4 linked regions of the Schizosaccharomyces pombe genome follow. The gene in region 3 interacts genetically with the main gene of each other region. Each region holds a gene or a part of one and is shown on either strand. Other genes may lie near its edges. The genes, in order: atg1, atg8, ura4 and fur4.

Region 1 (9,232 bases), 730 kb from region 3:
TCTAGTGTAAGGAAACAATAAAAAACCTTACGAGGTATATGTAAAGAATATGTATTGAGTCGATAAAATGTAAGACATGAGTATGCAAAGTATTCTTATCATTCCAATCTCACTGTATTTTGTGCTCTTTTAAATCCTTTACAGTCAACGTTACTCATATTATCGCTTTCATGTTGAAGCAAAAGTCATCGTAGCCAATTGAACGATGAACTATTACCATCTTATGGTGAAAATAATCAATTGTGGCTTTCTTGTTAGTAATACGTTCGTTTTAGCAACATTATTCCAAGCATATTTGCAAGTACATTCAATGTATATCGAAGAAGATTTAATTCTGTTTATCAAACACTGTTTACTGAATACATTGAGCATATTTTAAAGTAATATCGTCCAGGACACTATGCCTGAGTGGTTAAAGGGACAGACTAGAAATCTGTTGCGGTCTCCGCGCGCAGGTTCAAATCCTGCTGGTGTCGAATTTTTTATTTTTATAACGACTCTCCTTGAGATTGCAATGAAGACCTTTTATTCATTTAACAAGGATGTACTTTAGTTGTAGAAAAGTACTCTTTCACATTGCTGCTTGCATGTAATTGTTGCAGATGGAGATGGTTGTATACGCTTCTTTATTAGTACTCAAGTTTAAATTGGAAATGCGGTACTAATTGAGCAAATGAAAAGTACTAAAATAATGTTTCCATAAATTTTTTGATTCCTTAAAGGCTTTATTTTCATACTAGCAATTTATAATTTTTGAATGGATATAATGTTCCCTAAGGAGATATGCCTTAACCTCACTAGCAATCCAAGTTAACTAATACTTTACTATTCACTATATAGTAAATATGAATATAAGTTTAACTGTTATGATTAAGCAGCAGATCAAATCTGAATAAATGAATACTATACGTGTTCTCTAAGATTTCTATTGAAATGCGGAAAAGATCATCCTTAGTCAGTAGCAAGCCGATTGTGGTTGTAAACAAGACTAGCAATGCGCTGGTAAAGATATATCACCTTTCTTAATAAGCTAGCCTGTAATTTTTTTTTTTATTAAATATATAATCGCTTCTTTTCATCCACTGTTAGCATATTTCAAGTTATATAACATTATCTTAATAAAAAAAATAAATTACGAGACATGGCATTTTTTGCCATCCAATATGCTAAAAATTATAACGAACGATAATCTATCGCTAATTATGATTCAAGGTTGGTTAGGAAATTCACATTTTCAAACGAAGCATTTTCGGTGGGCTTTTTGAGGAAATTACATGGAAAAAGGTCGGGGCTACATTATATTATACATATAATTTGTTATGAAAGGATGGCCAAGTCAAGGTTTGAATATGTGAAGCAATACGAAAGATTGGATCGTTTACTACCTGAGACTTATATCGTAATACGAATTGATGGCAAAGGATTCCATAAGTTCACAAAGAAACATGATTTTGAGAAGCCAAATGATTTGAGATGTCTAAATTTAATGAATGCAGCAGCTCGCGTAGTCATGTCTGAGTTCACCGACATCGTTTTAGCTTATGGTGATAGTGATGAGTATAGGTATGCATGAAAACAGAATAATAAGCTCATGAATCGAATAAACTAACCTTTCTGCTTGAAGTTTTGTTTGGTCTAAGAGTACCGAATTGTATGAACGGCGCGAGAGTAAGCTTGTTAGCCATGTCTGCTCTTTATTTACATCTGCTTTTGTCTTCAATTGGCCTAAACATTTTGACATTCCACTACTTTCACTCCCTTCATTTGATGGACGAGCTGTACTTTATCCTAATATGAAAGTATTAAGAGATTATTTGCATTGGCGACAAGTAGACTGTCATATTAATAACCTTTACAATACTACCTTCTGGATGTTAATACTCAAAGGAGGTTTCACAAACACTCAAGCCGAGGAGTACCTAAAGGTAAGTAGCTCATTTTTTTTTATGTAAACCCTAGCGATTTATCTTCCTTTCAATAAAAACTAACCACTTTCACCTTTTGGGTGAATTACTTTACAGGGTACCGTCAGCGCAGAAAAACATGAAATTTTGTTCTCAAAATTCGGCATCAACTATAATTTTGAACCAGAGATATACAAAAAGGGCTCGATTTGGATTCGTGAGGTATGCTCGACAAACTTTGTTTAAATTAATTTTTGCTTACTTATTTAATTTAGCCTATTGATCAAGAATGGCATCAACAAGACAAAAAGTTCTCCGTAAAACAAAAGAAGAAAATGGTTTTATCTATCCTTCACGTAAGTCTGATAGACGATGACTTTTGGACTTCAAGGCCATTTCTTGAGGTATTGTTACAATAATTTCCTTTCACACATTTGTAAATTATGGGTCGTTTGAACAAAAACATTATCACTCGTTTAATTGTTTCTCTCATGCAGTCATCAGCTCTAGGCCGTATAAAACAAATCTTTGTTTTGGAAATCAAAAAAGTACTAGATTCTTGCCTTGATACGTTAAATAGCTGTTTTACTTGTTTGAAAAATTTAAGAGAAAAAAAATAATATGCACGAAATTTGAATAGAGATAAACCTCAATAAATAAGAGTTAAATATACGGGACTATCAACCCTATGTATAAAAAAAGCAAAATTAAAAACGTCTATATTAAAAAGTTATATAAATAATATGGTCATAACAACGAATTCATAACAAAATTTAGACTCAGAGCTCAGCTCATACAATATGCGAATTTGTTCAATAAAAGGGCGAAATCGTCGGTGTTCAAGCAAGATTGGGGGCAAGTGTTATTTTCGCAACACTTTCTGTTACTTTGTTGGCTACATTAGCCTGGATTTGTTTCGATTGTAAAAGTTCTTGCCTTTTCGTTATCAAAGCAATCAAATTTCTTATGGTTACTGAATTATTGGAATCGTTAGCACCGTCTGGAGTCGAAAAATTACTCTCAAGAAGTGACTCCAACAAATGTGCTGCAAGCCGGTAATTTTGTAAACAAGCCTGTGCATCATTTCCTGACAGTTCACTAGTGGCTGCATTTCTGGATAGGTCCAATGCTCTATGATAAATTAATTGAGAAGCTGACACAGGTTTGGTAGTTGGCAAAGAATGTGCGGCACTTTGAGAAATAATAATTTCACGTAAAAATTGGGATTTCTCAAGACTTTCTGAATACCTTTGACGAAACCATTCAATGGCTTGTTGGCAATCAGGAGATGCACGTTCTTCAGAGTTGGCCCAAAAAGCAGCAACACCGTCAAACGCCACTTGTAACAGCTCAATGTCTCTCTCATAAAGTACATACGATTCCTTGGCTAACATAACCAATGAAAAAGGAGTCAAAGGTCTATCCAAGAGTGTATCTCCAGGCTTCATTTCATCAGACAAAGAAGGAATAATTTGAGCAAGCTTCACTTCAGCCAGATGGTAGACAGAGTTTGATTTCATCGCTATACTTTCTAAAACATCAAGCAATCTTTTACCGGTGTCAGGTAAGGAAGGTTGGATAATGTTGACATTGTTATCCAAATTGCTTTCTTTTGTAGGAAGGGATGTGTTTCCATTATCTGTCATACCATCCACTACAACTTCATTAAGCCTAGCGTTTGCAACATTTAGTGCTCGTTCTAGAGCGCTTTTATTTCGCGCACCACCTCCAGATTGAGGTACATGTGCTGTAGCTTGCTCAAACGCACGACGTAGTTGAGTGACTGGGGTTGAAGCAATGTAGGTAGGATTAGAAGGGAAAGCATTGGGTTTCATGTAAGGGATTTGCATCCGGCTAGTATGGGGAAACGCATGATTATTTACAGGAGCGCTTTCAGGAGAGAAACTACCTTGAAAAACACCTTCGTTTGGTGAAGGCGAGTTACCATTGATTGATTGCTCGTGGGTTAGGCTTTCATTGGAAAGTTGGGTAGAAGAGATTATGGGATGATGGTCCACTACGACATAGGCGCTACTTTTGTTCGAAGTATCACTTGTCAACTTAGCAGGAGATGCCATGGGTATAGGTTGCTTAGAGGTTAATCGAGGAGGGAAAATGCTAGCAGCAGGAGCACTTTCAGGAGGAAACACGGGGGTGTATGGTAAAGTGTTTCCATCTTGTGCATAGCGATGAGGCACCCTTCGACCGGTAATTTCAGAGGGCTGAATACTAGACCCCTGAGCTTGGAAAGCTTGACGCAACAAACCGCCTGGAGGAGCAGGAGCGCCAGGATTACTTTTTGGGAAAAAATCGGTTATGTAGGCAGGACTAGAAGATGGAATGTTTATTTCCTTAACCGCATCTTGAATATCGCTACCGGTCAAAGTAGATGCGTCATCTAATGGAGTAGTGACAACAATACTGGAAAAGAAACCGTCGTAGTCGATACGATCAGCCGGATTTTGCTTCAGCAAAGCACAGATAAGGGTTTTAATGTCCGGGTGAATGAAAGCTTCTTCAGGAAACTTGATGACATCTTTAGCTTTTTGAATCCTCCTAAGAAGTTCGACATGATTTGGGGCCTTGAAGGGAGGCTTTCCAACAGCCATTTCGTATAACACAGCACCTACTGACCACAAATCGGCTTTAGCATCATATTTCTCGTAACGAAGTATTTCGGGCGCCATATACAACGGAGAGCCACATAGAGTTTCCGCCATACTAGACGTTTGAAGGTAACGTGCAAAACCAAAGTCTGCTAATTTAAGCATTGGTAGCTTGGGACTTCCCACAAACTGGGGATGCTCTTCCAGATAGGCAGCGGTGGGTGGTGGTTGTAAAAGAAGATTTTGGGGTTTGACATCTCGATGAATTAAAGAACGCGATCGTAAAAATTGGAGTGCAGAAGCAAGTTGTTGGGTAAAATGCCGAACCAACGTCTCATTCAATCCAGCCTTGTAAACTGGCGGATGATCGATGTTGATCCAGGCTAAGGAGGGAATACTGTTAAACTTTTCTCGCTTTCGAATAAAATAACTCAAATCTCCTAGGGAGCAATACTCCATGACCAGGTGAATGAACCGCCCAGCCTTAATACAGTCTATCAGTTCCACAACATGCACATGACGGATCTCTTTAAGGATTGAAATTTCACTTTCTAAATTCTCCAAAAGTTTCTTAGTAAGCTTCTTTGTCAATACGCTTTTAATAGAGATCACTCGATTCGTTTCCTGCAACACGATTAGCCACCAAATTCCATTGAAACAGACAAGCAGTTGCTTCTTTTACTTACCGTGTGCTTTCCTTTATACACAATTGCGAAAGATCCACGTCCAATTTCCGATCGAATGACATAGGGACCAATTGTTTGATTTGTACTCGTCTGTAAGTTCATACAGCTTCTGGTTCACGATAAGACAGGTGTAAGGGTTTTAGCTGCCTTTATACTCACTTTGATAGCATGGGAGTTGGCAAGGATAGCGGGTCGCCATTGATAATATAGCTGCGTAAAAGGCACTTTCCGCACTGGGCTTTAATACCTTAAAATAAATTGCGATCGTGGTGCGGCTGTAAAAGGTAACAGGAGATATGGTTTCGGGATAACAAGTTTTATGGGAGTAAGCACTATGAATAGAATGCGAGTTTATAGAGGAAATTGTATTAACTCAATGAATTATAATATTTTACACACATATACCTGCTGGTAGTGTCTAAATTCTTTGAAATTGTTCCCTTTTTGTGCAGCTGAAAAATGCCGAAAGTGGGTTAAGACGAAATAAATGTGTTAATTTTTGCCATGTCAGTTACCGATTTGAGTACGGAAAGCAAGTGTGTGTGGAATTAGAGGATAAGAACGGAAGTAGATAATACTCCAGACGAAGCGTAGATACCCGCGAAAAGGCAAATTAGTTGGAAAAGGCGATTGTCATGGATAGAGTGATCGAGGCAGATGAAAATGCAAGTGTAAATAGAGGGTAAATTTGGATAAAAAACCGGCGGCAGATGTACAACTTGTACCACTGTACCAGTTTCATGCCATATAGAAATAATATAAAAAAAAAAAGTAAACTGGATTTAAAAGACAAAAAAAAAAGAAAAGAAGGAGCCTACAGCACCCCGGATTCCCATGTTGTCTCCAACCATAGTACTAACGAGGCCCTCAGACGCTTAACTGCAGTGATCGGACGGGAACTGGTGTTTTCGCCTAGGTATGGCCGTAGACATTTGTTGTGTTAAATAATAATATTTATGGTTGAAGAAAAGAATATCATTTTTTTTATGCAGTGTGAGTTTTGGCTCAAACGCATGTATATAATACTACAAAACAGGGAATTGGGCAATGACTAGTATTCAAACATGCCCTGAGGACTTGAAGACCATAATGGAAGGTAAGAACTCTCTTGCAGAAAATTAAAAGAAAATTTCCAATCATAATATGTTGCTTTTCTCTTTATTGATATATACGAGATTGGTTGTGGAATCCAAATTTCTAAAACAGACTTTAAAGTCAACATTAGCGAAAACGCTACTGAAAACAAGCAACGTTATAAAAAATTCACCTTCTCACCATGAATAGTTTAATTTTGTATTTGCGTGATAATAAAATAAATAAATTAATTCGAGAATATAAAATAAAAAAAGTTTTGAAACTGAATATAAGTGCTTGTTGCCAATAATACTGCAATGAAGTTTGAAACAAAAAATAAAAAAAAATAAAGTAAAAATAATAAGTTAATCAAAATTTTGATTTTGTAGCAATAAATAAATTAATGAATTTTTTTTTAATCTATTATTTTCTAGGAAATTTGGAAAATTAATAAATGGAATTAAAATGCTTATGCTCCGAGTCGTACACTGTTTAATTAATTTTAAGCAAGCAAAAATAATATACTGTTCGTTTCGAAGCAACCTATTCTACTTAAAATTGTGCCACGATATCCGCTCAGATACTCGTTGTTATACATTTCTCAATAAATGAATATTTTGATCTTCCTAAATATGCGAACTGTAATAGTCAATTACCTTTAAATATATGACTGATTGAATAGCAAAACTATATATACATATATTTTGTAATATCATTTTTACCGAAATTTATAGTCCGTTTTAGTTTTATTCGTTTCATAGTCACATCTGCCATCTTTTTTTTGCTCACGTTGGTTTTTTGTAAACAGTATTCTCAGTGGATGCTGTTGTTAAGGTGATTATGATTTAATGATAGGCCTGGCAATACGTAAAATTTTTCTTTTTATTTTATTAAAGGAAATCTATTTACGTCGAATTAGTAACAAAGAGAATATGCAAAGAATTACATCTTTGGTTTATTTTTTCATATATAAGCACATATATGTATTTTTCTTTTGTTTGTCATTTGCAAAGCATCAGAGTTATGAGATATTTTACTTTGATGTTGCAAAATATTTTATGGAATTAAACATTCTTAATCCAAGGCTTGATACAATACCCACATGTACATTGGAAGTATGAGATTGTCATTCTCCGTTGAGACACCTTCCAAAATGGCCGTACATAAGGACATAAACAGCGTTTTCCAAAACGTTACTGAAGGACACACATGAAAAGCTTGCGTCAAGTGTAAAACGAGAAACACTGAGATTGAAAAGGCAAATACCCCCTCAATACTTTTATTCGTTTTTGAGATCCTATGTTTTCCGAACCTTTTCCCAATTATGCTAGCCATAGAATCTCCACACCCTAAACATAAAACACCAACCAGTAATTCAACCGACGCAACAGGACCTTTTAAAGCATTCGAAAGCCAAATAGGAATTGCACAACCAATTAAAAGATATATATGGGAAATAATCAAGGGGCCCTTGTGATCCCTGTTATCGGTATACTCCCATAAAAATTCATGGATCATTTTTCCAAATGGCTTAAGACGAAGTATGCGTATACCTTCAACAAACAGAAATATGAATAAAACTCCCGAAAAAGACAGGTGGAGAAAATGAGGATCTAAGCAACAAACCGGAAGAAATAAAAAGACAACCAAAGCATGATATGTCTTTCTACGAAAGTTCAGCACTTCATCTTCAGTGGTAAAGTATTTGCCAAGTGGATTATTACGGTTGCTTCGCAGAAGAATAAAAATAAAACAACCAAGGCAAATTATCCACCAAATAATTATTTTAATCCTCGTTAGGGAATTCCTATGCGAAAAAATTTGGTTGAACAACCATACTTCAGGTGCTTGTCCAAGTTGCCCAGCAACCCATGACCTGGACACTAAAAATACGAGCAAAGCGCTAAAGAAATAAATTAAACAAGTAGTAAAGAGTGCCGATAAATGTAATTTAGCAGCAAGCTTTAATATGCAAAGGTTTAACAAAATGAGTGTAGGTAAGGAAATGAGTAAAACTCCCGATAGCACTGAAACTACAGGAGATACTTCATACGAAAATGTAGCAAAACAAAGACCTGTAAGTCCGGTACAAATTAAAATGCCTTCAATGAAGGTAAAACTGTTTTGTGTAATTTCAAGAAAGGCAAGGATGACCGTTTCGTGAAGTTTTAAATTAACACTCGAATTACCCAGTCCATCTAAAACAATAGAGAGCCATTTCCATCTTTGTGTTAAGGACAAAAGAGCGTTGTAAAGACATACCGTGTACATCTCATGATACAAGACAGAGTTTTCTCCAAAGCCGACATAGAGGATACAAAAGGGAAACGATGATAACCACAATAACGGCCTAAATAATGAGTTAGTTGACTTAAGTTTAAAAATTTAATTGTTCGTAAAATCGTACTCATATAGCTGGATTATGCTAGACGAACCCAATAAATAAAAGCATGCAGGTAAAAAAAAGGACGCATTTGAAATTTGGAGGAACTTTTTGCCAGAGTTGCATAAGAAAGGAATGAATAAAACTGAAAATATTTCCAAAATACTTTCAAAATTCCGATGTTGATAATTCACTTCAACACATTCTTGCTCACGATCAATCTTTTCCGACGTATCATAACATTTTTTCGACATTATATACATTAAAAATCAACAAACAGTTAGCCAACAGAAATGATGTTTTTCATTAACAGAGGATTTGCTAAATAGCAACAATTGCAAAAAATCGTTAGATTGCTAAGTACTCTTATAACCAAAACATCAGATTCTCAAGTATTTTTATTAGGAAAGCGTTTTTTAAATGTTTAAGAATTAACAACCTCCAGTAATTTCAACTTTAATCGGTTTAGAGGAAAGCGTTTGTAGGAGGTGTTGATATTACCAGTAAAGTACTATATGGAGACAACTGTTACATCGAATATTACGATCAAGATTCATTTCAATAAGAAAATTGAGGATT
Region 2 (7,499 bases), on a different chromosome or scaffold from region 3:
TTAATCTAAATCATCTACTTAATTTTCAGTTTACACCTAGGACTAATTCGAACGCCTTTTCTGCTCCTCCGCGTAGGTCCCGTGGATATAATACTTATGGTCAAGGATCTGGTCATCATCCCATGGATAAATCAAGATATGTTAATGCAAACTATAGGTTTGTTGTCTCTCCTATTGGTGATTATCAATCACAGAAACTAGATCCAGATTCTCCGGTAAAGTGGGAGGATGTTTGGCAAGTACTTTGCTCTTCCGATTTTCAACTAGCAGCTTGCCCGTTTTGCCTTGAAGAAAAGCCTGTCGCTGCAAGGATGTCCAGATGTGGGCATGTTTATTGCTTTTCTTGTTTGCTTCGATTCGTCGAGACCCCTACGGCGGCGGAGGTTAAAGCCGCTGAAACTTCTGGCACCAAGATAGTAAAATGTGGTCATCGTAGCTGTCCTATTTGTTGGGATAGCATACGTTTACGAGATGTTCATCCTATCCGCTGGGTGGAAGACAAGGAATTTCAGAAACTTGAGGAAGGAAAGTCCGTCTGCCTTCGTTTATACCAGAGGAATAATGGATCTATACTTGCGTTTCCTAGATCTTGTAGATCTTTTGCTTTAGATGGATCATTTCATTCAGATGAAATTCCTAATTTTACTATGAGCGGGGCTGCGTACGCTCGTATAATTATTGGATCTCACGATTATATGGTTCAACAACATTTATTAGAAATTGAGCAGCTTCAGCAAATAGCTGCTGAAGATATTTCATTATATGGGTCTGCAGATACATACTATGAACGAATCACACAAATTTTGTTAGATCGAATCTCATCTTTATCTGAATCTGTTAATGAACAGAACATCAAATCTTTGCAAACCGACATTGATAATCTTTGCCTTCAAAGTAATAGCCTCAAACAGCTTTCCGAAGTTGACGATTTGAATGATGTTAGCGGATCTGAAATCGCAGATGCCTATCTATTCTATCAACCTTTCGCTCACTCCCACATCTATCTCTCTCCTTTAGATATTCGTATTTTAAAATCTGCTTTCGGATCGTACGAAAATTTTCCTGATGAGCTTGTTCCTAGGGTAGAAAGAATATCATCCGGTCACTTAGTGAATTCTGAGCTTCGTCAGCGGTTCAAATATATGGCTCATTTACCTGAAGGCTGTGAAGTTGCCTTTATTGAGTGTGATTGGTCTAAGATTATTCCCAAAGAAGTCTTGTTAACCTTCAAATCAGAAATCAGTAAACGACGCAAGCAACGTAAAGCTCAAGAAATGAGAGAAGAAAGGTATCGACAACGGGCTGAACGTGATACAGAGGAACAGATATACTCCGAGTTAAATATGCAGAGACCTGTGCCAAAAACCGTAGTGCATGAGGACCCTGCTGAAGCATTCCCCACATTGGGAAGTCATCATCAATTTGAATCTACCGATGAGGTTAATACAGATGAGTCTACCTTATCTACTGCAAAGACTGTTTGGGGAACAAGAGCTCTTGCCAATATTCAAAATGACACCGATGATCAAGACGATCTTGATGGTTGGAAAGTTGACTGGGACAAAGTTGCTCAATTATCTGCACCTTCCAAAAACTCAAAAAACAAAAAAAAGAAGAAATTAGTTTTATTATCAACAGGTGCCGCCCATCGATAAAGATGGAGCATTCTCAGTGATGAAATGCTACTGAAATTTTTGAAATGCAGGAGTGGGCTTTATTTTGAAATATAGTTATAACACTTGTTGCTTGAATTATGAAAGTTTACGATTGACCAATTTTTTGGGGCATGTGAATAGTATTCGCTATTATGACAACCAGTTAATGTAAAAAAGGATAGAATCAGCTGATGATATATATCTACTTATTATTTATCAACATTTTAATATTATTAGAAAATCAAAATCAATTTTTTTAATTGATGGTTTTTATTAATTAACAAGGTAAAATAACTTTGTTGTCAAAGCAAACTAGTCATAAGCGTTCATCACATCTATTGTAAGACAAATCTGAAACATCCTTAAAATCGTGGTGGCTAACCTGAGAATGATATGTATAAGACGCGCGTAAAATAATCATAATGCAAAAGCAAAGAAACTTGAAAGCTAAAAAGCTAGAAATGCAGAGTAAAAAAAACATAAAGAATCATTCAACCATTGTCCACAAACAATTTTGCTGATCACAATTAAAAGAAGGCGGGGCCATCTTAAAACAGGCAAATTGTTGATCTAAAAAGGAAACACTGTTCCAAATGTATTTTCTCCTGAATACGTGATATACAAAAAGCCGTCCTCACTTTTATGCTCTTCGTATATCGTTGACATCAAGGCCGCTGTCGGGGGCAAGATTTCATCAATGAAAATAAAGATGGCCTTCTCAGGAGAAAGTTTTATCCGTTTGCGAATAACATATACAAATTGACCAACTGTAAGGTCAGATGGAACGAGATATTTCTTTTTATCTATTGCAGCAATATCAGATTTATCAACTTTCTCGCAAATAACCTGTTAAGTTAGCAGTTAAGTTTAAAACGTAATTTGTATTTTTGAAAGAAAAAGGTCAGACTTGTAACAATGGATTCACTTTTGATGACAAAAACAATGGGTGTTGTTCAATTCACCACTATTTTGCTCTGAAACCTGTTCTCTTTGACCACCAGACTCTACTTACAGGTATTCGATCGGGATATTTTTCCCGGATTCTTTGAGACTCTGTTTTTCGTTTCTCTGATTATTAATTAGCCTACTAGTTCCAGGTATTCTACAATGCTGTCCAAAAAACAACTTCTATAAGTTTTTGACACATACCAAAAGAAAAGTCGTCCTTGAATTGAGAACGCATGAGAACTCTCAAACTTCTTGCTTGAAGTAGTAACTCCTCTCTTCAATTGCTTCAAAATTCGGTGTTCTTTGTAAACGGTGCGTGAGTTATGTGGTATACGGTCTTGGATAAATAAGCGTACCCTTGGGTAACGTATACAGAGATATGAAGCAATCTTATGATACTATGATAAGTTACCTTATTTCGTAATAAATAAATACTTTACGAATCTTAAGCAGTACACAATCAAAAGGAATTTTTACTACTTCTTTATAGTATGATAGCCATAATTGGTATATACTCAATCCTTGGTACAACAAAAGTCACAACTCTTTTAGGAAGAAAAGCAAGAATGGAAATAAAGACGTTGTGTAAATAAATAATAGCACGCTTAACACGTAAATACCTTCCAAAAAAGGTTAGGAAATAGAATTTTGCAAATAATTACTATTTCTATCTTTCATTAAATAATCAAACCATTAGAAAAATAGTAGTGTTTGATGTAAACAAATAAGCGCTTCTTGAATTATTTGCTTAACATTGTGCTAAAAGTTGCTACAGCAACCAAAATCTAGCGAGTCTTGCTATTAAACCCCACCATAACTATTTATTTATCCTTTACCACACAACGAAGCTTTTAGTTTGTGAAAACAAAAATGAAGTTGTTCTATTTCTCTTTACTTTTTACTCTTTTCTTTGGGCTTATCTCTGCCAACCGTGGCCCCAAAGTTACAGACACAGTGTATTTCGACTTGCAACAAGGTGATGAGTTCCTTGGAAGAGTTACCATTGGATTGTTTGGTAAAACTGTTCCCAAAACAGCCGAAAATTTCCGCGCATTAGCCACCGGAGAAAAGGGATTTGGATATGAAGGATCTATTTTCCATCGCGTTATTCCCAATTTCATGATTCAAGGTGGTGATATTACGAAGGGTGATGGTACTGGTGGAAAATCAATTTATGGCAGCCGTTTTCCTGATGAAAACTTTAAGCTTTCTCACCAACGTCCCGGTTTGCTTAGCATGGCTAACGCTGGACCCGATTCCAATGGATCTCAGTTTTTCATTACTACAGTTAAAACACCTTGGTTAGATGGACACCATGTTGTTTTTGGTGAAGGTAAGAATTCATATTGTAGTTGTATATGTTTTATAAAAGTGACTATTTGTTTTCTTTTTCCTTTTTTTTGTTTGCTAATACTAATTTTATCAGTCCTTTCTGGTTACGATATTGTCAAGAAAATTTCCAAAGCTGAGACTGACAACCGTGATAAGCCTCTTGAAGATGTAAAAATTATCAAATCTGGGCAGTTGTCTCAAGAAAATGTTGAAGATGACGGAACAGATGAATTGTAATCCCTACTTTCTATTTATGAAAGTCATCAACATCTAGTGTTTATAAGATTTACTTGAAAAGCAATGATTTTACATTCTGTTAACATAAACGTTTATCATTGGAAGGATCACTTCTTGTGGTAGTTTGTTTGCATTTTCTGACAGCCATAGTTGTATAACTAATATACGCATAAAGAATGCGATTTTAACAAGTTTTCAATTGAATGAATATAGAACTCTACGTATATTATCCAATTTAGCAAGCGTAATAGCAATGCTGCAATTCTGATAGTAAGTATTGACAACAAACGCGAAGCTTATTAGCTGCTTACTATTTTGTTATGTTTTATCAAAAAGAACTCAAAGACATTATTTTTTCCTATCAGCTGGCTGATATTACTAGCACGTTGTGTAGTTGTTTACCCTATGGGCTCTTAGAAAAGCGGACTTAAGGAATTTCGAGAGTCGGAAGCTGTCCACCGCAAACATTTGGGTAAAATCGGTTTTTGCGTCAATTGTGAGAAATCAATTTCAAACTAATCGTAATGTTTGACTCAACAAAAAAATCACTGCATTCGATGTCGGATTCTGCGAACCGCTTCCAGAATAAGATTACATCGAAATTACCAGGTAAGCATATTTCCTTTGCTTTTTGAGACATTACTAACAAAATGGGATTTATAGGTGAACATGGCGAAGATGCTATGTATGATATTAGATCCGTTCATGGAACCGGGCCTCGTTTATCAATAAAATATGTCGATGTTACAAAATTGCCTCCTCCTCCAAAACATGCTTCACAGTTGCGTGCCGGTGGTAGTAGTACTGGAAGTACACCTAGAACGGCTAGCCCGGCTGTAGGAAATCAAGATTATTCGAAACCCTCTTATTCGCAGCCTTCTTATTCCCAACCTTCACAGCCCCCCAAGGAACCCGCTCTTCCTTCAAGAGGGACTCCTTCACTTCCTAGTCGACCAGGGAGTCGTCCGTCCGTCTTAAATCAAGAACAAGTCCCACCACCTCCTGTTCGTCCTAATGTAATGTCTCAGATGCCCCCACCTCCCTCCTACAGCTCTTCTGGTTCTTATTCCCAAACTTATCAGTCAAACGCTAATTATACTGCCTCTTCTCCTCTCCCTACAGCTTCTGCAAATGCACCCTTGCCGGTTCCTCCTCCCCGAAGGGTTTCTCAAAACAGTTCATATGCATCTGGATCTGTTCCCGCGGCGACTGCTGCTTCTACAGCGTCGCCTGTTAAGAAACCACCTCCACCTGCACCTCCAAAGCCAAGAAGACTTGCTGCCCGAACTTCTAGTAATTCGTCCGGTGTAAGCTCGCCAACTTCTGTTCCACCTCCGGTTCAAAGGAATACTCGACCCAACCTATAAACCAAATTTTTGCTTTCTATTTTCTTTCTCTTACTACACCATTATTACCTAGGATGGCCTATTTAGCATACTAGATGTTATTCAATGTTTAAATCATAATCTTCTTAAATCAACTTTCCTACGAATAGTCGTACATACTAGGTAATTTGACAATTTAAAATGAAAGGTATCATCAATGTAGGAACGTTCAAAAATCTTAAATAAGGTACTGCGAAGTCGACATGGTAATTTTCTTTGTAAATGTCATAATATTTACTTCTGCATTTAATGACATACATATTATACAAGAAGAGTAAAGAACTTATCTGTTTTAACAGTATTCACCTTCAAAGATCTTAGAAAATTGGTTCAACTGTGATGATCTTTTGACGAAAGAATGTTAGAATGACTACGCCATGAGAACCTGTTGAATATCGTAATATTTAAGAAATAACTATACCAATATATGTATAGTGTAGTATGGCCTAGATATGTACCATACTTTTACAGATTTGTCTTTTTGTTTTGGGTTAGTCCCAATTGTTTATCTGTAGAGCGAAATATAGATCTTTCTTAGAAGGTGAATTGCTTATATGAGTCGCCCTATTGAAATAGCCAATGTGTCTTCTGGAAACCGTAGAACGCTCCCAGCACTTCATGGCTCTAGTTTTTCTAGCCGCTCAGAACTTGACAATAATACAAATTCAAAAATATCACGTCGCTTAAGAGAGTTAGTTTGTCAACGTATGGGTGAAAATCCACTTCGACTTCGACAGTCGTTTCATGAGACAATTTCTAATGATAGTTACGGGAATTCAGAGAAATTGGTATTTAGGCTAATTGTTTGGCTAATTTATTAACAAAATTATAGGTGATCAGGCCCTGCATTTGTTGTAATAGCGTCCTGCGCTACCCTGCACAAGCTATGTGCTTTCGTTGTTCATTATGTATGACTGTGAACGATGTTTATTTTTGTTTAAGTGGCTCCCAAATAAAGACAAAAGCTTCAACCGATGGATCACAATTTATCTCAGTTGAACATTTTGTTGAAACAATTCATCAAACACGAAGTGCCTTGCAACTTGCTAAGCAGCGAACTGGCAACGTTCAAGCTATTGTGGCTGCAGGCTTACCATTACGAGAACTTATATCCTTAGTATTTGGAAGTCCACCGATATTGAATAAACTGTTCTCGGTTAAAAATGGTTGTTCAATCCAATCTTCCGGACTAAATTATAAGCTCATTTACCAATTGTACCATGATATTACAAATTTAGACATTTTAATAACAAATGAGTTGTTAAGAGCTATCGAGAGTTTACTTCGGAGACCCATGCTATATTGTCATGATCCAGCGGATTATCAATATCTTCTCATTCTTTTGGAAAATCCTTTGTTGAACTCAAAATCAAAGAATATAGTGAACAAGAGTAGCAGCATTTTGAAGAGGATTTTGGGAGTTTTATCTAACTTGAACGAGAAGACACATCATTTTTTTATTTCTTGTTTTAAAAAACAACCTTACAACAATCCTAAGTTTTTTCGAAGAAAAGTCGATCTCATAAACAAGTTTATTGGTCAACGATTAATGGAAACTTACAGTAGAAACAAAAGGAAGCACTACTATAATAATGACTGGCAAATTAAGTCAGCAGCTATTACTATGGCCTTATTATACTCTGCTAATTCGCAAATGAGACTGATAGACAGATCTTCATTTTACTGCATAATGGCTGATTTCATAAATCTTTATCACGACTTTGAGTTATGGGAGCAAAAAATCAATTGCTTTTGTTTTTGCCAGTATCCTTTTCTTCTTTCAATGGGTGCTAAAATTAGTATTCTTCAGCTTGATGCTCGGAGAAAAATGGAGATTAAAGCAAGAGAAGCATTTTTCTCTTCAATTCTTTCCAAAATGAACGTTGAACCTTATTTGATGATTCGTGTTCGGCGAGATCGACTGTTAGAAGACAGCCTAAGG
Region 3 (7,030 bases):
ATTTTAGAGGGGAAACTACAGTGACTTTCTTGAAAGCAATTAAACAACCTTGAAAATGAATCAAACTTTTTTCTTAACGTTACTGCTGATATTGATGTGAAAATTAAACAAGAAAAACATCATCACTTCGTTAAAACCTTAAAAATTCAAAATTTCAAAGGAATAATTAACACCCGGGCATGCATACTACCCGATAACGTAATCTTCTCTATTGCCATTTTCTTTTTCTTTTTAATAAAAATGGCTGTCTAGTAAACACTTTGTCTCAGCGTTTCTTGCCTTTTTACAACAGTCAAATACCGAATATCGCACGAACCATTGAAAACGCAGCTGTGCGCGGTCTCAGTGCCGGTTGGGATTTTCCACCACTCGCAGCCCACAAAGCTCTTCATACAAAGATGAAGAACAGTAAAGAAAAAAAATCTTCCATCCCGACAAATTTGGTGATTTGACGTCACCAAAAGATTCGTTTTTGTAGAAAGGTATATATATTAACGACATGTGCCCATTTGTCTTGATAATACTATCTTTAAACTTGAACGACATTTTTTGAATACGCCGTTACTCCTAAAGATTTTATACCACTTGCTTTAACTTTTACACAAATTTATTACTACTATTAAAAATGGTTGCTGTCGGATCTACTTTGCCTAAAGTTACTCTTTGGGAAAACAAGCCCGAAGAGGTTGTTGAATTCCCTTCTCAAGGCAAATTCATCATTGTCGGTGTTCCCGGCGCTTTCACTCCTCCTTGTTCTTCTCAAGTTCCTGGCTATATTGCAAATGAGAAGCAATTTGCTGCCAAGGGCATCAGCGGAATCTATGTCGTTGCCGTAAATGACGTTTTCGTCACCAAGGCTTGGAAGAAGTCTTTCGACGGTGGTGAGCAAAGTGGTGTTCACTTTGTCGCCGACTGGAACGGAGAGTTTACCAAGGCCTTTGATGCTGGCTTCGACGCTAGCGGTCTTTTGGGCCCTCTTCGCTCCAAGCGTTATGCCGCTGTTGTCGAGAATGGCAAGGTTGTCAAGGTTTTCATTGAGAACGAGGTCACCGATGTTGATATTTCCTCCGCTGACAAGGTCCTTAGCTCTCTTTAAATCTGATGAACTGTTGTACTAATTGTTTTGATGGGAATGTTTTTTTCCTTTAATGAACGAAACTTAGAATCAAAAAGATAAGCTCCTTATTTAAGGGCGTTTGAAATGATGGAGATAAAGCACTCCATATTTGAGTTTTTTTTGTCATTGTGATGATATATGTTTAGATTTATGAAATTTTATACACAATTATCTTAACAACTCATTGTTTGAGTACTAGTACAATTCTTTATAAGAAAGTAGATATGCTTAAAAAATTAATGTCAAGTAAAACGTTGAATCGATTACAATAAGTTTTCGTAACACGATTGAAAATCGGTAGAAGTTGAAATGGATATTCTAAGTGGTGGTATCAAAATAATGACTAGAAAGATGTAAGCACACCTTCAATGTATCATAATCAATGTCAGATGAATTTGGGTAATGAAAAACGTTGGCCACAGTTGGGGGCGTCTTCCTCTAGATGCTCGTCTTCTACAACCGTTCTTTACCTCAACCTTTAAATTTTCAAAATCTCCTTTTTAATAACAGTTTTCATTTTTGGGTTCTTTTTACTCATTTGTATTTCATCTTCGATGAAAATAGCTAATGTCTTAACTTTATCGTTTGCTGCAATTATTGCTGCTTCTTCCCTGGCGGTTGTAGTTAGTCCTATCACAGACAATTCCAGGGAGACAGCTTCATCCTCCATTTCTCAAAGTCCTCCTAGTCAATGGTCAAAAAAACAGTTAATTGAGTATTGTAAAAAAAATTCACTTAAAACTAGCGGATCTCATGAAGAATTGGTTATCCGTGTGCAAAATCATCTTCGTACCGCCTCTAAAAAAGTTGATGCCAGACCGTAATGACAAAACAGCTTGTATAGATTTTAATATGTTTTCGATGCTTACATAATGAGTGAGTGTCATTATTGAGGAATGCCATGTCAGATTTGACACAACTCAGAACTTATTAACTTTTTATGATTGGAACTTTTGTTTTGCCCAAGGAATTTTTAATGGAAGAAGTTGTTTTATAAATGATATTGAATTTATATCCACTCTTTTTAGCGCATTTGCATCTCTACTTTAGGTTCTTCTTTGACTAGATTCTAGGATGCGTATTGGATATACTGGTCTTTGAATCATTGTCGAAAAAAAAATTCATGGTTGTACCCATGAGCAAACTGCTTTTGTGGTTATCCATGTGCTTCTTTTGTTCAGCATCTATCTTCTTAATCGCATGGAAGATTTGATTTAAACCAAAAGAAATATTGTTAAACTTTGACAGAAGCTTTAAATTTTGATTCCATACATTAAATGGATAAAACTCCTGAAGCTTAGCTACAAATCCCACTGGCTATATGTATGCATTTGTGTTAAAAAAGTTTGTATAGATTATTTAATCTACTCAGCATTCTTTCTCTAAATAGGAATTTGTTACTTAATGGAGAAAAAAATGTTTCGATTTACCTAGTGTATTTGTTTGTATACTCACGTTTAATTTCAAACATCCATTCTATCTTGTGTAATTTTTGGCATGGTGAAAAAGATAATCAGCCTTATAATCTTTACAAAAGTAAGAAATTCTGTAAATAAGCCTTAATGCCCTTGCTTTAAATTAAAATGGTTCTTTTTCATGATAATGTTTGCACTTTGTGAATATATTTTAGATAGTTCTGTGAGGTATAATTAAGATGTTTTAGAGACTTATACAATTTTGTCTTTATAAATTCTTAATTGATTTTACCATCCCAGTTTAACTATGCTTCGTCGGCATCTCTGCACATGTCGTGTTTTCTTACCGTATTGTCCTACCAAGAACCTCTTTTTTGCTTGGATCGAAATTAAAGGTTTAAAAGCAAAGTTATGGATGCTAGAGTATTTCAAAGCTATTCAGCTAGAGCTGAGGGGATGAAAAATCCCATTGCCAAGGAATTGTTGGCTTTGATGGAAGAAAAGCAAAGCAACTTGTCAGTCGCGGTCGATTTGACGAAGAAATCCGAAATCTTAGAATTGGTAGATAAAATTGGACCCTATGTCTGTGTTATCAAGACACATATTGACGTTGTCGAGGATTTCGACCAGGATATGGTAGAAAAACTGGTGGCCTTAGGTAAAAAGCATCGTTTTCTTATCTTTGAGGATCGCAAATTCGCAGACATTGGAAATACCGTCAAGCTACAATATGCATCTGGTGTGTACAAAATTGCTTCTTGGGCTCATATCACAAATTGCCATACAGTGCCAGGCGAGGGTATTATACAAGGCCTCAAAGAAGTTGGTTTACCTTTGGGACGTGGTCTCTTGCTTTTGGCTGAAATGTCTTCCAAAGGCTCTTTGGCTACTGGTTCCTACACAGAGAAAACCTTAGAATGGTTTGAGAAGCATACCGATTTTTGCTTTGGCTTTATAGCTGGTCGTCGATTTCCTAACCTTCAAAGCGACTACATAACTATGTCCCCTGGTATCGGCTTGGATGTTAAAGGAGACGGGCTGGGACAGCAATATCGTACTCCTGAAGAAGTGATTGTAAACTGCGGTAGCGATATCATCATTGTTGGTCGTGGAGTCTATGGAGCTGGTCGTAATCCTGTTGTCGAAGCCAAGAGATATAGAGAAGCTGGTTGGAAGGCATATCAGCAAAGACTTTCTCAGCATTAAAAAAAGACTAATGTAAAATTTTTTTGGTTGGTTATTGAAAAAGTCGATGCCTTGTTTGCGTTTGTTTTCCTAGGCGTTTTATGTCAGAAGGCATTTAGAATTAGTATACAAGTACTCTTTGGTAAAATTTTATGTAGCGACTAAAATATTAACTATTATAGATAAACACCTTGGGAATAAAAAGTAATTTGCTATAGTAATTTATTAAACATGCTCCTACAACATTACCACAATCTTTTCTCTTGGATTGACATTGAATAAGAAAAGAGTGAATTTTTTTAGACTTGTAATGATAACTATGTACAAAGCCAATGAAAGATGTATGTAGATGAATGTAAAATACCATGTAGACAAACAAGATAAAACTTGGTTATAAACATTGGTGTTGGAACAGAATAAATTAGATGTCAAAAAGTTTCGTCAATATCACAAGCTTTATTATTCAAAACTAGTATACTTTTTCTCGGAGTATAATACACAATATCGGTGCAAATAGGTTTTAAAATTGCTCCAATCACATGTTCTTAAGAAAAAAACGTCAAAAGAAATCTAAGTATTCCCAAAATAATTCCTCCTGACATGAGAAGAATAAAAAACACTAAGATGCATTGTCAGTATGAAACACAAGCCAAAGTTGCTAACAATAGGATCAATTCTTACTTACTGGCAATGTTACGAGGAATCTTGGTAGGAGGATGTTTGGCAACATAACGTTCTTTTGAATTTGTTTTTACACGACGAGTAATGTTCTTCTGAAACTGTGTGTTTGCACGACGCTGAGAGGGAGTTTGAACCGTCTAAAAGACATAGTTAGGATCCATGATGCACAGATTTCTAAAGATAAAACTACTTACAGGCATGTTGGTTTATTAAAAAAGAAAAACAGGAATGATAAGAGGGAAAGAATACGTGTACAGAGCAAGTGTGGAAAGATATGCTGAAGACGTTTGTATGAACAATGCCAAGCTGTAAAGCTAGACTTTCAAAGTACACACTAATACGTTATACTATATACCAAACAAAAGGGTACGAACTTACAGTGTTTACCAATGTCAGCAATACTACACTACGCTATGATACACTACGTTGTGTATCACTATATGTCACATGTTCTAATTATATATCGTACCATGTATGATACGATATGGAGATTAATCTTAATGATAATCTATTAAGATCTATATTATCTGAATACTATAAATAGAGCTACTGCTGAACCTCGTTCCTCAGTTCAGTTATGAGCTATATTAGTGATAGGTAACATTATAACCCAGTTAATACAATACCTATACTCAGTTGCTACTTATACAACCCGTGTATTGTAATATAATAGATCACAAGGAAAACTCACCGCAGTTCTACGTATCCTTAAATCAGATACCAAACTGCGTAGCTTACAACCAAAAAACCAAACAGTTTCGATAAAAAAAATAGTGATAAGATGCATTTCCATTATAATCCTCTATTTAGTAAACATGTGAATTAATATTTATAACTGTCGAGAAGAGAAATATTCAGTGATCGATAAGCAAAAATGAATATTAGTTATAAAAGGTAATAGGAAAAGGATGGTAAAATATACTGTGCTGACTAATATTGGACACTATCTTAGTTTGCAGAGTAATGGTGATTGGGGTAATTTGATATCTGGCAACTTCTTATTATAACATATTCGTCTTTTGTAAGTGAAATTCCTAATGACAGCGGCAAGATTATGGTGATTTTATTTGTAAAAATGTATCAGTATGAACAGACAAGCCATCTTAACATACTTAAGGGAAACCTGAAACTAACTGGAATTATCTATCGCTGGTATAGAGAAGGGCAAAATAAAAAACCGAGATTGTAAAAATTTTTTTAGATAAATGAAAATTTCCACTGTTAGCCCGTATTTCTCAAAATAAATCTCATATTGGAATAACAAAATTTAAGTACACTGGAGTAAATTTTTTTTGAAGAGTTATATGGTACAAAAATTATGAAGGAATAAATCGGCTTTGGTGGTTTAGTGGTATAATGAATCGTTGCCATCGATTCGACCCGGGTTCGATTCCCGGCCAAAGCATTTAAGTTAATGTTTTTGCTACCGTTTTTGATTGAAGTTTTAAGACGAGAACAAAGTTTTTACATTCAAAGCTTGAGCAATTAATTTTTTTTTAGATTTAATCCATTCATGATCAGATGGATGAGATATGCTCAGCAAATGTGAATAGTCAGTGAGTCACATAAGGTAGTGTAGTGTTTGCTAACGCGAATTATTTCTCGTATATGGGGTTGGCTTGTTTACATTGCTCAATGCTGACGCTCTGTGTACATCAACTTAATTGACAATTACCATTGCTAAACTGTACCTTGTCGTACTACCACGTTTTGACGTTATAAAGCAGAAAATATTATTAACTATGTCTGAAGAAGACAATAGGTTAAATGAACTATTTGCGAATGACTTGGGCGTTCAACCTCCCTGCGAACGGTCGTTAAAGGAGGGAAGGAGATTTTTGAACGACTTTGAAATTGCGGCAAAAAAAAAGTTGCTTGAGCTAGAAAGGAAAGCATTGGAAGACAAAGAGAAAAATTTGAATTTTGTTGTTGAATCTGAAAGAACGTTATTCAATTCCAAGAAAAGGGCTTTTGATAACGACGAGTGTTACAATGACCGTTGTAAACTATTTCGCGGTATTGTAAATGAATGGGGCCGATCTGAAAGGACATTAGATAGTCTGGATGAGCCTCCAGCTTGGTTTCGAAGGGAAATGGGAGAGTGGAAGAAAGCCAGAGAAGAGGATAAAGCAGAGTGGAAGAAAGCCAGAGAAGAGGATAAAGCAGAGTGGAAGAAAGCCAGAGAAGAGGATAAAGCAGAGTGGAAGAAAGCCAGAGAAGAGGATAAAGCAGAGTGGAAGAAAGCCAGAGAAGAGGATAAAGCAGAATGGAAGAAAGCCAGAGAAGAGGATAAAGAGTGGAGGAACTCGATGGATGAGTGGAGAAAATCGATGGATGAGTGGAGAAAGTCGATGGATGAGTGGAGAAAATCGATGGATGAGTGGAGAAAGTCGACGGATGAGTGGAGAAAGTCGACGGATGAACGCCTAGAAAATCTTCTTAATATAGTTCGAGAAATCCTTGATGTTCAACGAGACATGCGAAACGATTTGTCAAACTTGACGAGAAAGGTTGATCGTATGGACATGAGGCTCTCTCGAAATAACAACATGATTATGAGAAGTTTTGCTCAACCTATTACTGAGGTTCCCTTTTTTAATGGCGATATTCCTGACCCTAATTTGCCTCGAAT
Region 4 (8,469 bases), on a different chromosome or scaffold from region 3:
ACTCAAAACTAGAAAACAGGTATGAATATATTTGTTTTATTCTTAAGACTTTTTAAAAACCCATTCCTCTTACTGTAGTCTTGTTGTTGTAATACCATCTTTCAAACTAACAAATTTACTAAACTGCTTATTATAGACTCAAGGTATTGGAGAAGGCCATCAGTTCTATCACAAATTCTCCTATTGCAGGCCAGATTTCCCTCAAATCCGAAAAAGACGTTTTCCTCCAGGGTTTACTCTCCATGGATGAAATCGAATTGCTCTTGGAAATTTTTATAGAGCGCTATGGTAAGCGCTGGCTCTCTGTCGACTACAGTGCTTCCCAGTACATGGAACTACTATACACAAAATCACATTTGATGCTTGCAACCGCTTGTCTCATTGCTTTAAGACACAATCCCTCTCTGAAAGCTAGGATTTACACGGACGTACTAAACATCGTGGACCGCCTTATCTCAGAGGAATTGCTCACTACTTCACCTTCCCTACAGTTTTTCGAGGCTGTATCTATGCTAACCCTTTATCGACCGCTTCGGCTTTCCCAAAAACAAGATCTCTGGCTCCTCAGCGGGTTTGCTTTGCAACACAGAACGCTTTCGAGCACCAAGGGATGGTTCAACGGTTTTGCGGGATCTAGCGCTACACTAACTTATCTCGATATCGTTCCCGCAAGAACGTGGAATCACCTCTGCCATGGTCATTTGGTTATGTGCATGGGATATCGTCGTCATGCTATGTTGGATGAAAATACTTTTGATGATTGTCGTAATATATTAACAAATACTAAGGCTAATGAATTTGACGGAAACATTTTGGGAATGCTCTCTGTATACTCCATGCTATACAGAATGCTGCGATCCCCTACCCTCGATTTGGATTATGCAATATTTCAGCTTGAAGAATGGCGCAAGGAATGGTGTCATCTTTGGGAACAACCCGAGCCGCAATATTCTCGGATTGCCTATTTTTATTCCTACAATGTCGTTTACGAGGCCAGCATCCAAACAGCTACGGATGGTAATGACTTTGCGAACATACCGCGGTATGTTAGCATGGTGCAAAGTTATGCGCTAAAAACAATTGATGCAATTTTTGAATTGTCAGCTTACGATATGTCTCGTTGCTCCGATCATGTCTTGTTTCACGCGGGTTTTGCATCTGCAAGTTTACTGCGATTGATTTACGCTGCAAAAACAAAGGAGGTAGACACTTCTATCGTCCAGCCTAAAGTTTTGAATGACCTTGTAACTAAAATATGGAAATGGTTGCTTGTTATCAGTGTCGACCAATATCATTTGGCTACAAAGTTTGCTAATTACCTGAAGGAATATCAAAAAACCGTTAATGAAGGCACTGCTGAAAGCACCTGGTTTAAAGGACCACTGCGACCTGTTTCAAGCACTACGTTACAAGCTCTTAAACCGTACAACCTTGGAGTCGCTACTGTGGAACGTGGCTAATCTTTGCCCCATAGAGCCCGCGTTTGTGCCTCGGTGCGATAGCGCGGTTGTTCCGCAATAGCTTAATCAAAGACGGTCGGAAATTCCGCGGTTGAAAATCGGCTGTAAAGTGTCTGAAAAAAACTAAAAACTGGCGATCTAAAAGATATAAAGGAAGAATTCTTGGCCCTGAATAGAGAAAAAAGTTTCCACATTTGACTGTTTACGAACTTACCTCTATCTTACGAATTTTGTAAAAAATTCCTTTTGTTACATCAACCTTTTCTTATCGAATTTCAGTTTTTTTTTGAATTGAATCGTTTTGTTAAATTAAAATTTCCATCCAATATGTCCATTCCTCTTGAACAGCCCGAGAATGTCGTGGTTCTCCGTCAGACCATGTACTTGTTATCATTGATGACTATTCTTCGCGATCAGCAAACCGGCCATTCAGAGTTTGTGCGCACAGCCAATCTCATTATCAACATGCTAATGCAAGAAGCATTGAGTGCTTTACCTTATAAGAAATGCTTAATAAAGACTAGTTCCGGCGGCACCTATACTGGCGTCCAACCAGCTAGAGATATATGCGGCGTCAGCATTTTAAGAGCTGGAGAGAGTATGGAATATGGATTGGCCGCTGCTTGCAACTACTCAGTTCCCGTCGGCAAGTTATTGGTGCAAAGAGATGAAACTACGTTTGAAGCTAAATTGATGTTCTGCAAGTTACCCAAGGATGCACAGGATCGTTTGGTTTTGTTGCTAGATCCCTTATTGGCTACGGGAAATTCTGTAATTCTCGCCATTCAAACTCTGATCAACAAGGGGATCCCAGAAGAAAACATTGTGTTTGTTAATCTCATTGCATGCAATGAGGGGATTACTAATGTCTTTGCTAAGTTTCCCAAGCTTAGAATGGTTACAGCGTCTATTGATCCCGAATTGAATGCTAATAAATACGTTGTTCCTGGATGCGGTGATTTCGGTGACCGCTACTTTGGCACTTGCTAGAATCGTTGATCTTTCATCTCATCAGTGTATATCTCTTTCTGATCCATTCATTGTATTTTAATTACCCTAATTTTTATTCGTTCTCGTTCATTTCGATATATTAACCTTAGATATAATCAATTGTAACATCTATTTCATCAAAGCCCTGTACACTGCATATCCTCGCGATTTATTTAATTTATTATACTCAAGTCCATACCGTGACATTCGACAAACCTTTAATTAATAAACATAATTTTACATCCATTTTTTCACGAGTTATTTCAGTAATCTTTAATCTCTGTTTTCCAACATTCTGTGTTCAATAAGGCGTGTTATTTCCATTTGATGTTTGATTTTTATAGAACATCCTATGTTACTTCTGTAACTATTACCATAATAAAGATATGTCGCTTACTTACTTTTGAAGTCATCCCTTTAGTAGATAAACAGCTTTATTTAGTGTAATATGAATACGCTTACTGTCTAAACGCAACAAATATGCATAACCTATTAATACACTTCATTCATTAACTAGCAATACATTATAAACAAAGATGATCTAAAAAATTTTTATGACAAACTAAAAACAAAAAATAATTTAATAAAGAACCTTCAATAAACCTTGAAAAATTACTATTAAGACGAGATCAAACCACAAAAAGTAATTTACCTAAGGAAAACAACCCGATAATTTTTTGCTCGTAATACTGAGAACGTCGTCCTTCTCAACCTCCTTCTCAGTGGGAAGTCCATCAATATAAATTTCAGATGTACTGTCCTTGTCGATGGAGTCTTCTGAGGCAAGGGTAAGCAAATAGTCATCAGCTTCTTCGGGAACCTCAGAAAGCATTTTCTCACCGCATTCGGTAACAGGGAAGATTTTGCAAATGATTATATGAGATAAACAGGCGACGGTAATACCCAAAAAGTAATTTAAATTAAACATGGTATTAGCAACTTTTGGGACTTTTTGTCCAGTTGAACCAGCCATACCAACAATATTGATAAGCATACCACAAATGTAAGAAGCAAATGCCCGGAAGTTGATACCCTTCCAAAAGTAATAGGGGCTGCTAGAAGAGGAAGAGTATAAAGGAGCAACTCTAATCAAGCCTTTGCGCACGAAATAGTAGTCGGCAATGATAACGCCAGCAAATGAAGACAAAAAGACGGAGTATGAGGATAAATAAGTTGTGAAGTTATTGTTTGAGCTTAATAAATTCCATGGGCACATGCAGAGGGCAATAATAGAGGCGATGTAACCACCACGACGAACATTAATTACAGTAGGCAAGAGAGCTGACAAATCGTTACCCGCAGAAACCGAATTAGCAGCAATGTTGACACCGAGTTGAGCGATACACAAACCAAATGCGATGAAAAAGACACCGGCACGAACACCGTGGGCGTTAGAGTGATCGAGGAAAGAGGCAAGCAATTGAGTAGGATCCCAAAGAGTCGTGCCATAAATGGCTTTGGATGCAGAACTAACAAGAACACCGATTAGCGAAGTTACACCAAAGGCAAGGGGAACGGTGATGATTTGAGGCCAGTGTACGGCGCCAGGGGTGGTCGCAAAGCGTGCAAAATCAGGATTATTGACAATAAGAGTCGCAAAGCCATCAATACAGGTTACAATTCCATTAATTACCACCCAAGCATGTTCATACTGACCTAATTTTGTAGGTTCATGAATAACAGGACCGGCGCCGTGGGCTTTAACGAGCGCCCAAATTAGGAAAGCAATGGCTGCAGGAGGAGCGACAATGGCCTTAAAAGTGAAGAGGTGACGAATTTGATGTACTGGAAACCAAATGGCAATATTTGAAAGGAGCCAAAAGATAAAAAAGCCAACCCATTGGTATGTCTCCGTACCACTTTTTGCCATGGTGTTAGGGATATGGGAGAAAGAAGGCCAAATTGAGCGAATCATCAAAACAACACATTCACCACCAATCCAAGCCTGCACACCGTACCAGACGCATGCCAGGACACTACGATTAAGAATAGGCCATAATGAACCCCATGTACCAAAGGAAGAACGAGAAAGAACAGGGAATGAAATGTGATATACTGCACCAGGGCGACCAGTAGTTGCAACTAAAATACCGCAAATAAGATAGCCAACCCAAACGCAAATCCATGCCTCCCACCAGTTCAAGCCAAGCTCGATAGCGGTGGCAGAAATCATCCAAGTGTTGATGTTGACAGCATCAGCTAACCAAAAAGAAATGAAGTTCCAAGGCCCCCAAAGGCGCTTGGAAGGAGGAACAGGATATAGATCCTTGTTAGTCAACATTCTCTCGGCCATAGTCATACCAGGCCTATGATCCAATATAACAAAATCCTTGACCTTTCTATAGGCATTGCTATTTCTAATTCGTGAAAAAAAAGAATTATTATCCACAGACTCCATGATTTAACAAGATTAATGTTTCAGACGATAAGAAAAAACAAACGACAAAAATGAGAAAACTTTTTTCAAGACTTTTGTAGGGAAAGAAAAGATGAGCGAAATTAATTAAGTGACTTTAAATAACAGATTGAAATATTAAACGAGCTGAGTGAATTCGTTAATGAAGGAAAAAACGTTCGTAAACAAAAAAAAAGAGCCGACAAAAAAAATGGAGGAAACCAACAAGTGCCGTAAAATATTTCACCTTTACAAATAATAGCAGTTATGTAGTATTAAAAAATCCTACAAAGGTTTGACAAAGGCCTTGCACTGTGGCTTGAGTAGAAGAAAAAGTGGAATGTTGAAATATTTTCAGAGCAATCTAAGAGGTAACAATGACCAGAGGTAACAGAAATTTCTCCACAATAAAAGTGGCGAGCAAGCGATCTTTGGAAAAAAGATGAGTGAAAAGCTGTGTGCTATTACAAAACAGATCGTTAAATGTTTTATTTTATGTCGCCTTTCAATTCCCTCAATGTTAAGCCTATAAAGTTTGCAAATATGTATTTTCTTAGGAAGAAACCTTTGTTTATATGTAGAGAAAATTTTTTATTTCGCAGCGCAATCAGAGGAGATAGAGATATCTTTCGCGTGTAAGTTTAAATCCAAAACGCTAACTAACTTAATGTGATAGAAAGCCAACCAAGAGGCTGAATTCGTAGATTGTAAGGAATATGGGTATTATCAAATGACGAAGATTAGATTACGCCGCCGTCCTTAATATAAATTAATGATAAGTATATGAACGGATGCACAATAGAGATAATTGATAAAAACTTGGCTGTGCAGCTGACCTGATTCTCAAAAGCTTTACTTGAGGTATAGATAAAGCAACGAAATAAGATATTTTCGCTAAGTCTGCAAGTACGAGAAATCGGGCGTAGGCTGATCTATGTGCAAAACGGTATGTTAACTCAAAAGCCAAAATATAGGATGATAGAGTAAACTCGTATAATCAATATGAGTCAAAAAAAAGTATGAATGGAATGCAGGGTAATGCTTTTTGAACGAACAATCAAAGAAATGAAGGAGGAAAACAGTGCGAATTGAAGTTAACAAACGAATGGAAAAGATGAATATCGACGATAAAACAAACGTGTAATGCCAAACAAAATAGAAAAAAATGAAATGTAGAAAAACTCAAGAAAAAGACAGTGTGGACTTTGGTAAAAGCTAGTGATCAATTAATTTCCGGATCCAAAAGAAACGGATAGATGCAAACAATGGTGTCGAAAGTAATGTCGACTCCTACAAGAAACTAATTAGTCGTATCAAAAATTGATTTTGATAATTGATGAACTTTGCTTAGGTTTTATAGTTAAACTAGTTTGCTTGGAATAGGTCGATAACGGGTCGTCCATTTCGTCTTTCAATATAACAAGCTATTAACTATACTTGTTTTCATTCATTTTTTTTGATAGGAAGCTCACCGCGGCAAGCCTTTTTGTAGTTTTCTGTTGATTTCGTGGTTTTGTTGTCGCATCTATTTTTTTGAGTTTAAAGTTGTCAAGATAAAAATAAGGCCAGCAGTTGAACACATCGCTTAATCTTATCAGTTAGTTTTTCACGTAAGTAAAAAGAGTTTTCGACGAAGATTCTCAAGTAGTGTTTTGGTTTTAAATTTTTCTAAAAAGAAATGATATTAGAATGCCGCGCTTCAAACGGCTTGTTCCACCAAAAAGGTATAGTCTCAGAAAGTGCGATGATTTTTTTATCCATCGTTACCTTGTTCGGGAATGCTGCTACGGTCTGCGCAGTATGAAAACAAGTGAACAACTGATCAATCAGTAAACATAAGAAATCCTTAGTTGCGCAGTTTAGAAAAGATGCAACTATAGCACCTTTTGCAAGCAAAGCAATTGAGCTAGGAAGAGATAAATGATTTTATTAAAAAATATTAAAATTAAGTAAAGAGTAATCCCTACACCGTAAACCAAAATAAAAAAGAAAGAGAGAGGGAGAAAAACTAGTAAACATTGTTTGCGACAGATCATGGCAGTAATCATGAATTTTTAACACTTTTAACTCCTTATGGCGAAAGATTTTGTTTTAACATGCAATACACTTTAGCTCCCTGCCTCTAATGCGAAATGAAGAAATGTAGTGTAAAAACAAAAAGCAGATTAATTATTTTTGTAAACTTATCGAAGAAAAAATCATTAGCATACAACAATATCAGAAAAAAATTATAACAATCAAGTTCGATCCTTGGTTAAAAAAAAAAAAACCGAAACAAACATTAAACACTAGTAATAGAAAACACAATGTTTTTACCAGTCAAACGTAGATAAAAAAAATCAAGTAAATAGACAATGACCTTATTCTGCAATGTAAAGAAAAATAAATTTAATAAACAGTTGTTTTGGGATTCTTCAACAAAAGCTTTTTAAAAAATAAGTTTCAAGGAGCATCTTTAAATCCCTTATCCTTTTCTTTGTACTCCGTGACGCTTTGAGATAATTTCTCTTGCTTTGTAAAAAACGACAGAAGCATTCCTACTCCTGCAACTGGACAATTTACAATCCAGATTGTACGAATGGCATTAGCATAGACATTGAATACAAAGTTTCTCTCGCTTACGCTGGGAATTGAAGCAATTTGAGAGTATGAAAGCCCTGTAGAATATTCCGTTCCTTTTAGAAGTGTCGTAAGTTGCTGATCATAAATTACCGCTCCTATCGATATTCCCACAGATGCACCCATATTCCTTAGCAGCATAAATGCGGAACAAGAAGTCGCCATCAAAGCAGGAGGTACAGAAGCCTGAATAGCAATAAGATTGGGTTGGAACAGGTTGCCAATTCCAACAGCTGTCAAAGCCAAGAATCCCATGGTACGTGGTATAGGTGTGTCATAGTATATTGCGATCATACTACCGGTACCAGCTAATAAAACTATCCATCCTCCAATCATTGGATATCGATAATTTTTCAATTTTCCTATTCCCATACCACTAATGGCAGAAACAACTGAAGATACAACTGCCAGAGATAAAGTATGAACACCAGACATTAACGGACCATCACCCTTGATGCTTTGAAAGTAGATTGGAATGTAATAAGTCACAGTTGACATGATATAATAATGTAAGAAGGAGGTTACCATCACAGAAGATAAAGAGAGTGTTTGAAACGCCGAGGGAGCAATAATTCTAGTGCGGGTGGTATAAAGTTCATTGACGACAAAACCGGCAATGCAAAGGATACCAAAAATTAAATAGCACAAGACATTGGCATGGGCCCAATGTCCTGTTGTAGATCCGATGTTCAAGCCAAGTAAAAATAACACAACACCAGTCGTAATGGTTACAATGCCCACAAAGTCAAAATCACGTAAAAACACGCAAAACGAAACTGTAGGCTTGGGTACAAGATTGAGGAAAAAAATCAAGAGTGCAAGCGAAAGACCACCAGTAGGTAGATTAATGAAGAAAATCCAGCGCCATGTAGTATTCTGTGAAATTGCACCTCCAATTAAAGGACCCATAACAGAAGCAACCCCCCAAGTGACTCCCATACAACCTGTGTAATAAGGTCTGGTCTGTAAAGGAGTAATGTCAGCTATAACGATTGTAACTAAAGA

The links.
Region 1: mutations in ura4 (region 3) and atg1 impair growth when combined (synthetic growth defect), as found in Schizosaccharomyces pombe (one study listed by BioGRID).
Region 2: mutations in ura4 (region 3) and atg8 impair growth when combined (synthetic growth defect), as found in Schizosaccharomyces pombe (one study listed by BioGRID).
Region 4: mutations in ura4 (region 3) and fur4 impair growth when combined (synthetic growth defect), as found in Schizosaccharomyces pombe (one study listed by BioGRID).

What each region holds. Positions count from the first base shown.
Region 1 is NC_003421.2:847,307-856,538, forward strand, and holds atg1 (autophagy serine/threonine protein kinase Atg1), read right to left. Parts: upstream 5,377-9,232; 5' UTR 5,299-5,376; coding exon 5,197-5,298; intron 5,135-5,196; coding exon 2,744-5,134; 3' UTR 2,527-2,743; downstream 1-2,526. Other genes in the region: thg1 (tRNA guanylyltransferase), read left to right, coding at 1,328-1,563, 1,625-1,925, 2,022-2,126, 2,180-2,323; dolichol kinase Sec59, read right to left, coding at 7,345-8,620, 8,678-8,916. UniProt on the Schizosaccharomyces pombe protein: Serine/threonine protein kinase involved in the cytoplasm to vacuole transport (Cvt) and found to be essential in autophagy, where it is required for the formation of autophagosomes.
Region 2 is NC_003423.3:3,682,428-3,689,926, forward strand, and holds atg8 (autophagy-associated protein Atg8), read right to left. Parts: upstream 2,944-7,499; 5' UTR 2,839-2,943; coding exon 2,805-2,838; exon of another isoform or gene 2,724-2,804; coding exon 2,668-2,723; exon of another isoform or gene 2,502-2,667; coding exon 2,226-2,501; 3' UTR 1,854-2,225; downstream 1-1,853. Other genes in the region: rnf10 (ubiquitin-protein ligase E3), read left to right, coding at 1-1,655; cyclophilin family peptidyl-prolyl cis-trans isomerase Cyp4, read left to right, coding at 3,474-3,936, 4,030-4,172; SPOM_SPBP8B7.26 (uncharacterized protein), read left to right, coding at 4,697-4,781, 4,836-5,539; mug30 (ubiquitin-protein ligase E3), read left to right, coding at 6,112-6,345, 6,390-7,499. UniProt on the Schizosaccharomyces pombe protein: Ubiquitin-like modifier involved in autophagosome formation. With atg4, mediates the delivery of the autophagosomes to the vacuole via the microtubule cytoskeleton.
Region 3 is NC_003421.2:112,489-119,518, reverse strand, and holds ura4 (orotidine 5'-phosphate decarboxylase Ura4), read left to right. Parts: upstream 1-2,893; 5' UTR 2,894-2,943; coding exon 2,944-3,738; 3' UTR 3,739-3,930; downstream 3,931-7,030. Other genes in the region: thioredoxin-related chaperone Pmp20, read left to right, coding at 626-1,096; protein new25, read left to right, coding at 1,672-1,941; protein tam14, read right to left, coding at 4,263-4,336, 4,403-4,535, 4,593-4,598; protein mug135, read left to right, coding at 6,141-7,030.
Region 4 is NC_003424.3:1,838,834-1,847,302, forward strand, and holds fur4 (plasma membrane uracil transmembrane transporter), read right to left. Parts: upstream 5,171-8,469; 5' UTR 4,849-5,170; coding exon 3,103-4,848; 3' UTR 3,075-3,102; downstream 1-3,074. Other genes in the region: protein toe1, read left to right, coding at 1-19, 137-1,460; uck2 (uracil phosphoribosyltransferase), read left to right, coding at 1,788-2,450; SPOM_SPAC1399.02 (transporter), read right to left, coding at 7,288-8,469.